Linked DNA regions of Daphnia pulex. The protein of the gene in region 2 binds, or shares a complex with, the protein of the main gene of each other region. Links are inferred from orthologs where the notes say so. Each region holds a gene or a part of one and is shown on either strand. Other genes may lie near its edges.

Region 1 (4,582 bases), on a different chromosome or scaffold from region 2:
CGAGTAGAAAATTATTTTTGATACTTTAAGTTTGTATTTGCCATTTGGTTGTTGCTAAAGATTTTATACTTTTATTGCTCGAATATCGAGGTCAGTTTAAATATGAACGACTGTCCCTGTATGTGATGCAATTCTAACCATGAGTCGAGTTATAAGCCAAGCTCGAAGGTTTACCTTGCTTGCAGCTAAAAATCAATTTCGCCCCCACGCAAAAGTAAATACTATCCAGTTAGGTTCGTTGGAATTAATTCGTCGTTATTCTTCTTCAATTGATTCCCAACTCCATGATGAAGGTATTCAGGTGTAAACATTAAAGAAGTTCAATTACATACTGGTCAGATGAAAATTGAGTGCTTTGTTTGATAGGATTTGCCAAACTTAAGAAGAAGTCTCCCAAGATGATTACATTTAAAGATAAAATTGAAAAGCATGACTTGGATGCAAAATTAAACAATATAAGGAAATGGCTTTCTAAGGGCCATTTTGTTAAAGCATCCATCTCAAATGTTTCAAAAGATGAGAAAAAAGTGGTAATGGAAAATTCATAATAGTACTGTACCAAATTTATCATATTTAATCATTTCTCTTAACAATAGGAACAAATGTATAATGACTTGATGAAGGAACTTGCAAAAGAAGGCAAATTCAAAATGTTTAAAACTAGCAGCAGAGAAACTAAATTCAGCATAGAACCAATAGAGAATATTGAAACTGATGAGCAAAAGAACATAACATAACATGGCTAACTATTTCCTTTGATCCTAGTAGTTACAATACAAGTGGAAAGAAATTGTCACATTGACACATTCTCTTAAGTTTATCATCATCATCCTACAGTGTGATAAAATTCTTATTTCATGGTAATGGTAATCAAAGTCAACCTCTCTTAAGCTAATGGTTATTTTAAACATAGTTTAATTTCATTTAACTTCTAACATTAATCACTATATCAGTAATAGTTATTAATTCCCGAAACGTAAACGTTCATTAAATAACGTTCAATTAATTCGATTGAAAATTCCCGAGACCTTCGTAAAATTTCAAGTTAGGAAGTCCTCGCTAGATGCCGCACAGATCATTCTACTCCAAATGGTCGACCACGACCATGATCAAAAACTACTTCATAATAACAATCTACCCATAATTGTATACAGTATACATTGTAGGTACTGATGAAAATGAAAAATTCGTCAAGGAGTCGAGCTGCTTTTCTTCGATTTCCAATCGTTTTTGGTAAATTTAATTACAAAGCCATTGAATAGTAATTGGTTAAAAATTGTTTTCTTCATAAGGATTCATTTTGGGAACATTCTACATGGGGTTTCAATATCGGTGAGACATTGAAAGACTTGCTCAGTACAGAACTGATAAATCTCAATTTCATTCCAGCAAAGGAGATATTTGAATATTGTTTTTCATTTTAGGAAGTTGTTCATGAAAGACATAGAAGAAAAGCAAAAGGAAATGAATAAAGAAGATCCTAACAGTAGAGGATTGATCACAAGCTCAATTGGACAGATCAATCGTGAAAGAAGCAATAAGAATGATAAATGACAAGATTCATTTGTGATTCTTCATGGCAAATTTTAGAATGGACAAAATTTAATACACAAAAAAATGCAATTTCTGAAAATTATTCAATCCTACTTAAGTATACTAAAATAACTAGTTTATGTTGTGAGTGACTCTTTCTTATTTGGGGATGAATACGTGATTTCCTCGCTCTGCATGAATTCTTCCTGTATGTTTAAATAAATATGTCATTCATGAATGTAAGTAAATTTTAAAACTAAATATTAGACATATTGTGTAATGCTATACAGGCTGAAAGCCAGTTGCTTCCAGAACTTCCACTTGCTCATATACATACCTTGTTGTATATTACTTTTACTATAAGTGAACAACTCGGACATGTGGCTTCCTCTTCCCCATTTTCTAGCTGTTCCTGTTGAAATAAAAGTAAACCTTTTAATAAGCTTGGAATCTGAGTAAGGAATGGGGACGTCACATTACTTTGGTGATTTCAAACCGATCTCCACAAGGGCAAGGATAGAAGTAAATTTCACTGTCCGAATCATATTCAAAATCTTCGATTTCAACTTCATCGTGATAGACAGACATTTTCACCAAAAATTCTGAGTAATAAATAAAAGATTTTTCTCAACTACTGAAACAAAAATGTGTGGATCTTCAAAAGACAACACGTGAGAAAAAGAGACATCTGCCGGCCAAAAATCAGACTACCTGAATTAACTCACGTTTACACGTTGCATATAATAAGCATAATAAAAAAAGAATTTTTTTTTTATCTCCTACCCTACTTTCAAACAACAGTATGTTGGAAACAAAACAGAAATAATGATCAAAGTCTGATTTTGTCAGATAATGTGCCGGCGTCATCGTTTATTTCCACAAAACCTTAATAGAGATGGATAGCGGGATAATTTGAAGTCTTTTGTTTCTTCTCTAATCGGTTCAGGATTGCTGAGCGAGAAGTTCGGCTTGCTCGTTAACGATGGTTAGCATGGAATCTTTGACCTGTCTGAGGTGGCCTCGCCAAGTAGTCAGCAACTCACGCAACTGCTGCCAGTGCTGCTTGCCGAATGTCCGATGCATGGTTGATGAAACAAGCACTTTCTTGTTCAACTGATCCATTCGTGCGCGCACCAATTTCGTCTTAAGGACTTGAAGGACAAATTCCTCTACTTGATCTTCGGTTAGTTGTAATTGCTTCTCGAGCGTTTCGAAAGGGAGCTCTACGGAATTTTCAGCCAACTGCATGAAAGTCAAAATTCGCATTTTTCGAAGGTTCTGCTCATGTTTCAGACCTAAAAATCATTGTTACTTAAAATTCTTAAAAAAATACTTAAAAATTTCCAGTAAATACCTAGTCCTTCAACAAAATCTTTCTTTTCCTCATAAAACTTCAAATAAGCTGACAGCTTTTCCGTCACGAATACGGTCAACAGATCGTGCAAAAGGGCACCTTCCAAAACTGTACACAAAAATTAATTAATAACTGATTTAACTTCAAAGTAATTTTTATAAACCTTTCACAGGTTGCAAAGTCAATAAATGATCGAGAAGGAAAGTGTTGGGATCAGCCAATGAAGCAACAATGCAGCGTTGAGCTTCCTCACGAGCCTGTGAAGCATTTTCGGTCGTGTAAGTGCTCAACAACTCCACCATCACTTTGGAGGCCAGTTCACTGAATAATAACACTGGTTTGATTTATTGTTACAATTATTTGTTTAACTTCAATACTTTACCTTTCTCTGGAGTTGAGGAGAGCTTCATGTAAACTTCGGAGGAGTTTTTGCATCTGCTCGTTGTTAGGTTTGCATGGCCCTAGTTGAGTACGCATTTTATCTAGATCCGTGAACACTGTCTTCATCTGTTCCACTTGTCCAGCAACTTGGACTAGCGTGTGATAGACCGTGTAACGCGTTGTACTCACAGGATCAAGCCCATGAAATAGTACAGACAGACTAAAGAATCAAAATTATAGTTAGACAATTCATTATGTAAACTTCAAATTTCAAATGCTCACACTCTCAGACAAACAAGTCCCAACTTGTTTGAGGGGGGTTTTGCAAGCTTTTGGCAAAACGTAGTAATTATTGGTTCAGCTTTTTCATTGGGGAGAAGAACGAGCATAGATACAATGCTATTCAAGACTCCCTCAGATTCCACTTCATTGCCCTCCTTCAAAGAAGAAAATAGTGTAAACACACACTACTAATTGAAATAAAATTGTCACTTACTTTGAAACAGAGATCTGCAACAGCAACAATGTTGCTAAGATCTGAGTTTTGATCATCATCCACATTTGATGCTCCAAGAGCCTTGAAATAGCTACACAATTCAGTAGCCTAAAAAGACAGATATGAATACAATGACCAATTCAAAGCCTTGATGTCTTAAATTTTGTCTCAGTACTATATAACAGTTATTTGCTTTCTCCAGGTGGTAAAACAGGTATAAAAATTAGAAATACTAGTAGGGAAAATTGTCTATAACACAGAAAGGTGTACGCTACTGGCAGACTCCACACTTCATCGCCACAACAGTTTAGCATCTACCGGACTAAATTTATGGGGAAACTAACCTGTTCTTCGACCGTTAAATCGATAAATGCTGGTAAACTCATCCTGATAAATTGTTCAAAACAAACTGGAAAAAAAGATTCCTTTATTAGAAGTTGCTTGTCAAAAAAATCCGGATATAGGCCACGCTCACGATCCCGGTACAGAAGTTCGTCTGTAATGGCGACATTGCCACCGTGTTCCCCTACAGATAAATCAACGATTTTTTTTTTTTTTTAATTCTTTGTTTCAACACTTTCACGCTTTCCAAAATTTTCTAAAACCAGTTCTTGATTTTTTAAAATTATTATTAAAAAAATTACTACCTTTTAAAATTGCAGCATAAAAGATCACCACATTTGTTATCGCTGTTATCGGCTCACTCGCAATTTCTATCTAACTTGACGTGTTGCGGTGTTGGAAGAAACAAACCGAATACACCGTCAAAGGTACGCACCGGTTTCGGATTCATTTGATCGTTATCATTCGAACCAGCA
Region 2 (4,104 bases):
GTGTCCTACTAATTCAAATGTAAATGAGAGATTAAGCCACGAGATGATGGCAACGAATTTCGTAACGAACTACCAGGAAGTTATACATGCATGGAAGACGATGAATCACAAGAAAAATACAGAAAGAGAAGAAGGTAAAATTTACCTTTTTTTTTCGTAGAAGAACTTTTTTGCTGCTGTGGTTTTTGCTGTAGTTTCAGACTTTAGGGGTTTTCCTGCACGTGACATTGATCAATTGCGGTTGGAAACACTAGCTCTTATTTCGATACAATTTTTTTTGTTTCACCCGAAGGAGCACCTACCACGTATGTGTGTTTACTTCTAATAGATACAATCCCGTGTTTCGATAGTAATTTTCATGGGAGCTTAATTGTAGTGGAGAACCCATATTACTCACGTGAATCAGGCAAGCCTACATGTCAAACTGTTTTTAGTTTTTAATTCAAAACTGACCAGTCCTAGTGGGAGAAAAGCGCGCGCGCGCAGAAAGTTTATCGGATTTTAAATTAACCAGATTTTTGCTAGAAATTGTCAAGCACATCGAATGAGTCGAAGAGGCCCTGAAAGAACTTTATAAAGCCTGGGACAGAAATTATGTAGTAAATGAACATGAACATATGAAATAAATCAATGTTTCAAATTTCAATATCCTGTGTTCAACTCACATTATGAATTCGTCGATCAATGTTATACATAAACGTAATATTCTCGGTTTGAACATAAGAAAGAGAGATGCGGATATATTAACTAAAAGGTGCACCTATTGGCATCTAGTGGCCAAAACAAAAAGGATAAAAAGAGGGAAAATACAAAATTTTTATCTACCTGCGTTAGCAAGGTACTAACAGAAGGGCTGTACAGTCGGGTGATCCTAGCGATCCTAGGTCCCATTCCCCAAGAAAATAAGTGCGAGAGGTAAGTGCAGAAGAGGACCTACTATAGAATGAAAATTTAAGTTACAGCAAATAATCGGAAAAAAACATAACAAACAAATAAGATAGTAATTTATATGTCAAGTAAAATTTCTACACAAACCACACAATCTTACTGGTTAAAAATTTGCCTTTTTCACTCTAACCACCCCGCACCGTAAGAAACCCTTAGGGTAATTTGGAACTTCGCAGCAATTTTTTATACAAGTAAATCTTACGATTGGGAAAGGCAAATATGTTATTTACTTATAAAACATACAGTAGGACATAAGATTAAGGATTTGTCGATGTCAGCGCTAGAGTAAGTGAGTAACTTGTCTAAATGTGCAGTGCCGCAGGATGATAAATTGTTTTTAAATAACTTTCAAATTTTATTTAACGAAAAATTAATTACAATTCATTTTCTGTCGACAGTTTTTTTCTTTTCACATTTTGGTTTGTAATTGGGTGTCCATGCTCCTAAACTTTCATAGGCATAGAAATCCATGGGGTACGTGTCCTTCCATTCCACCTCTTTCAGCGCCACATTGATTTCGTAAGGCGTCAAGAGTGGCTTGGCAAAAGCAAGACCCCAATCAATTGAAAGTCTTGGGCATGCAATTTGAACCCATGCATCGACGCTGGGCATAAGCGCTAGTTTGGACGGAAATATTTCCGACATCAATATGGTAACGAATTCCTTGTTCGATTTCAGCACTTTCTCTTTGATTTCGTTCAGCACTTTTGGACTTCCCTATACACAGATATAATTATTCAAACATCTTAGAAAATATAAAGCTGAATATTCTTACTTGTCGGCCCAGTGTCCCTAAGATTAAACCAAATCTAGAGGCTTTTGTAGCTGTGTTTATGGCTGCTTTTCTGTTGGTCTTCATCTGGTCATGTTCATAAAACTCTTGCGTAAATTCTTTATTGTAAGGATCGTACTTGTATGCTCTGCAATCTGGATTCGCTATCATTGCCGATTCAAGATGAAATCTTCCGTCTCCAAGATAAATGATGACGTCTGTGTCTATTGAAGGAGACGTACAGCCCAGAATTTCGCCTGGCGACAATGGTGAAGATTTGGGTGTACTGGCAATATATCCTTCACTCTTAAGCAGCATCACCAAGCTCTGTAGTGAGGCCACAAACTGAATGGTACTCACAAATGACAATCTGGTTTCTTTGTCAAAGTTAAGCTTAATTGTTTCAATGAAATGTTGTGAATCAAATTTTATATCAACAAAAATGTAAAGCATTTTGATTCCACTAGTCTGATCCACTGGAATTAAACATGAATGTCCATAGTGAATCATTAAGTCAGCTCCTAGAGCTATGGCTGTTCGATCATCAACACAACAGGCTCCATAGGTAACATCCCCCATTATCACAGTTTCAGCTTGACAAAACTCTTCTATAATGTCTGAGATTGTCAAAGCAAACATGAGCAACCCTTCTGGCATTTGCAAAGCTACTCTTTTAGCCCCAACTTGGCGGATTCTCCACACCTGAACAAAAAGGCTGACATGAACAGAAATGCTTGCCAAGTGATGATACTAATTATGACTTCTCGTACCGTTTTATGAATTTCAAAGGAATAATTACTTGGAAGAAGTTCGATTGCTGCTGCTAATTTTTTATCGTTCAGTATGTCATCTGGAATCTGGTTCATAACCCTGATTTTTCCTGTCGTCGCACCATACACTTTTCTGTCGGGATTGGCTCGTGAGACCAAGGCTGTTTCAGCTATTTTATCTTTTGCAATATTATCTGGTGTCGTTTCTTCCATTTTGTTTCGATAGCTTCAAATCTTTAATCTTAAATTGCAACGAAGGAATGAACTTTTCAGAAATAACAACGTGTTGAGCAGCAGACGACGGAATATCTCCCAAACAAATCCATCTAGCGCCAAATTCGACAACTTTTGTTAACAAATTTTTAAAAATATCAGACCTGAAACTTTTACATCAAACAAGAACAAGAATAAAGAAAATCAAACTTCAAACACTGATTTTAAAATACCAGTCGCCAGCTGACTAAATTGTATTATTTCATGTTAAAAAAAAATTTTGATTGACAAGAAAGATGTGAGGCAACAAATAGACACACACGACACTGACGAATGAATAACCGGTAAAAAGGCGCTGGCCGCTGGAGCAACAAATAACAAGTAAATACGTCACAAAATTTTGCAAAAGAATAAAAACTTAATTTGTACCATGAAGTAGAACAAAATTTTATGAAACAATTGAGCTGCAAGCGCGAAATGGTTATACTCTATGCATGCACGTGTAAAAAATTAATATTTTGGATAGACCAGAGCTTTTTGACATATTTGTTTAAAAAAAAAACTAATCAAACTTATGGCAGTTTGCTAGCGATCCACGGTAGTTGCCCCGTCTTGCGATAAGCGTAATAGTCATAAAGGAGTTTGCCGATGGTAGCCAGAGTTAAAAGAGCCAAGATTACATTTAACACATCCATTAGATTTATAGCGTTGTTTCCCACAGTGCTGCAAACGCTGGTCAGCTCTACCGCAATTACCTTTTTGCCAGCGCTTTCCCCTTCTGCTGGGCCGCACGTGACATTGCTAACATCTTTGACCAGCTGTTTGTGCTTGGCAATAAACGACTAAAAAAGAATACGTGATTCGTATAGCAATTACTAAAATTGAAAAATCAAATAAAATTACCTGAAACTGGGTAATGGTAATGCAGTCACATTTCCAGGGATTGTTACTAAGAAGCATGCGAACGCCGTTGATGTCTTGATGATGAAATACATTATTCAGTGCATCTGTAGGGATCTGCAAAATAAAATATTAAAAAAAAGCTAGTCAATTTTTATTCCATTAAGCATTATAGAATCCCCCAACATTCCTCTGAACTCGACAGCAGATAAGAATACCTTAAAATTTTGAGGTAACTTTATTGAACTTACTTCTTTTAGAAGGTTTCCTTGAAGACTTAACAGACTAAACTGTTTGATCCAATCAGAATCCTCCAAGCTTGAAATTGATTGGATTCGATTATTGGCTAGATATAAAACAGTCACTCTGCTGTAGCTGGGATTTTTAGTTAGCTCACTTACATCTTCAATCTAAGGTAAGATTAGAAATTAAATGATTAAATAATTAATTTGAAAAGTGTTTCAACATTTATACTCACTCTATTGTTGCTCAGATCCATAT

What was found. Proteins that work in one complex are often made in the same cells at the same time.
Region 1: 2-(3-amino-3-carboxypropyl)histidine synthase subunit 1-like (region 2) and DPH3 homolog share a complex: the UniProt entries of both Caenorhabditis elegans proteins name them as parts of the 2-(3-amino-3-carboxypropyl)histidine synthase complex. The link is inferred for Daphnia pulex from reciprocal best matches to the Caenorhabditis elegans genes dph-1 and dph-3.

The regions. Positions count from the first base shown.
Region 1 is NC_060019.1:9,157,724-9,162,305, forward strand, and holds DPH3 homolog, read right to left. Parts: upstream 2,227-4,582; 5' UTR 2,122-2,226; coding exon 2,014-2,121; intron 1,946-2,013; coding exon 1,871-1,945; intron 1,740-1,870; coding exon 1,671-1,739; 3' UTR 1,191-1,670; downstream 1-1,190. Other genes in the region: eukaryotic translation initiation factor 3 subunit M-like, read right to left, coding at 2,476-2,828, 2,888-2,995, 3,051-3,208, 3,270-3,488, 3,551-3,705, 3,765-3,872, 4,109-4,150. UniProt on the Caenorhabditis elegans protein: Required for the first step of diphthamide biosynthesis, a post-translational modification of histidine which occurs in elongation factor 2.
Region 2 is NC_060028.1:7,506,115-7,510,218, forward strand, and holds the start of 2-(3-amino-3-carboxypropyl)histidine synthase subunit 1-like, read right to left. Parts: upstream 2,801-4,104; 5' UTR 2,704-2,800; coding exon 2,491-2,703; intron 2,423-2,490; coding exon 1,724-2,422; intron 1,666-1,723; coding exon 1,330-1,665; 3' UTR 1,327-1,329; intron 937-1,326; exon of another isoform or gene 934-936; 3' UTR 1-933. Other genes in the region: protein singed wings 2-like, read right to left, coding at 3,276-3,545, 3,607-3,720, 3,855-4,013, 4,082-4,104. UniProt on the Caenorhabditis elegans protein: Catalyzes the first step of diphthamide biosynthesis, a post-translational modification of histidine which occurs in elongation factor 2.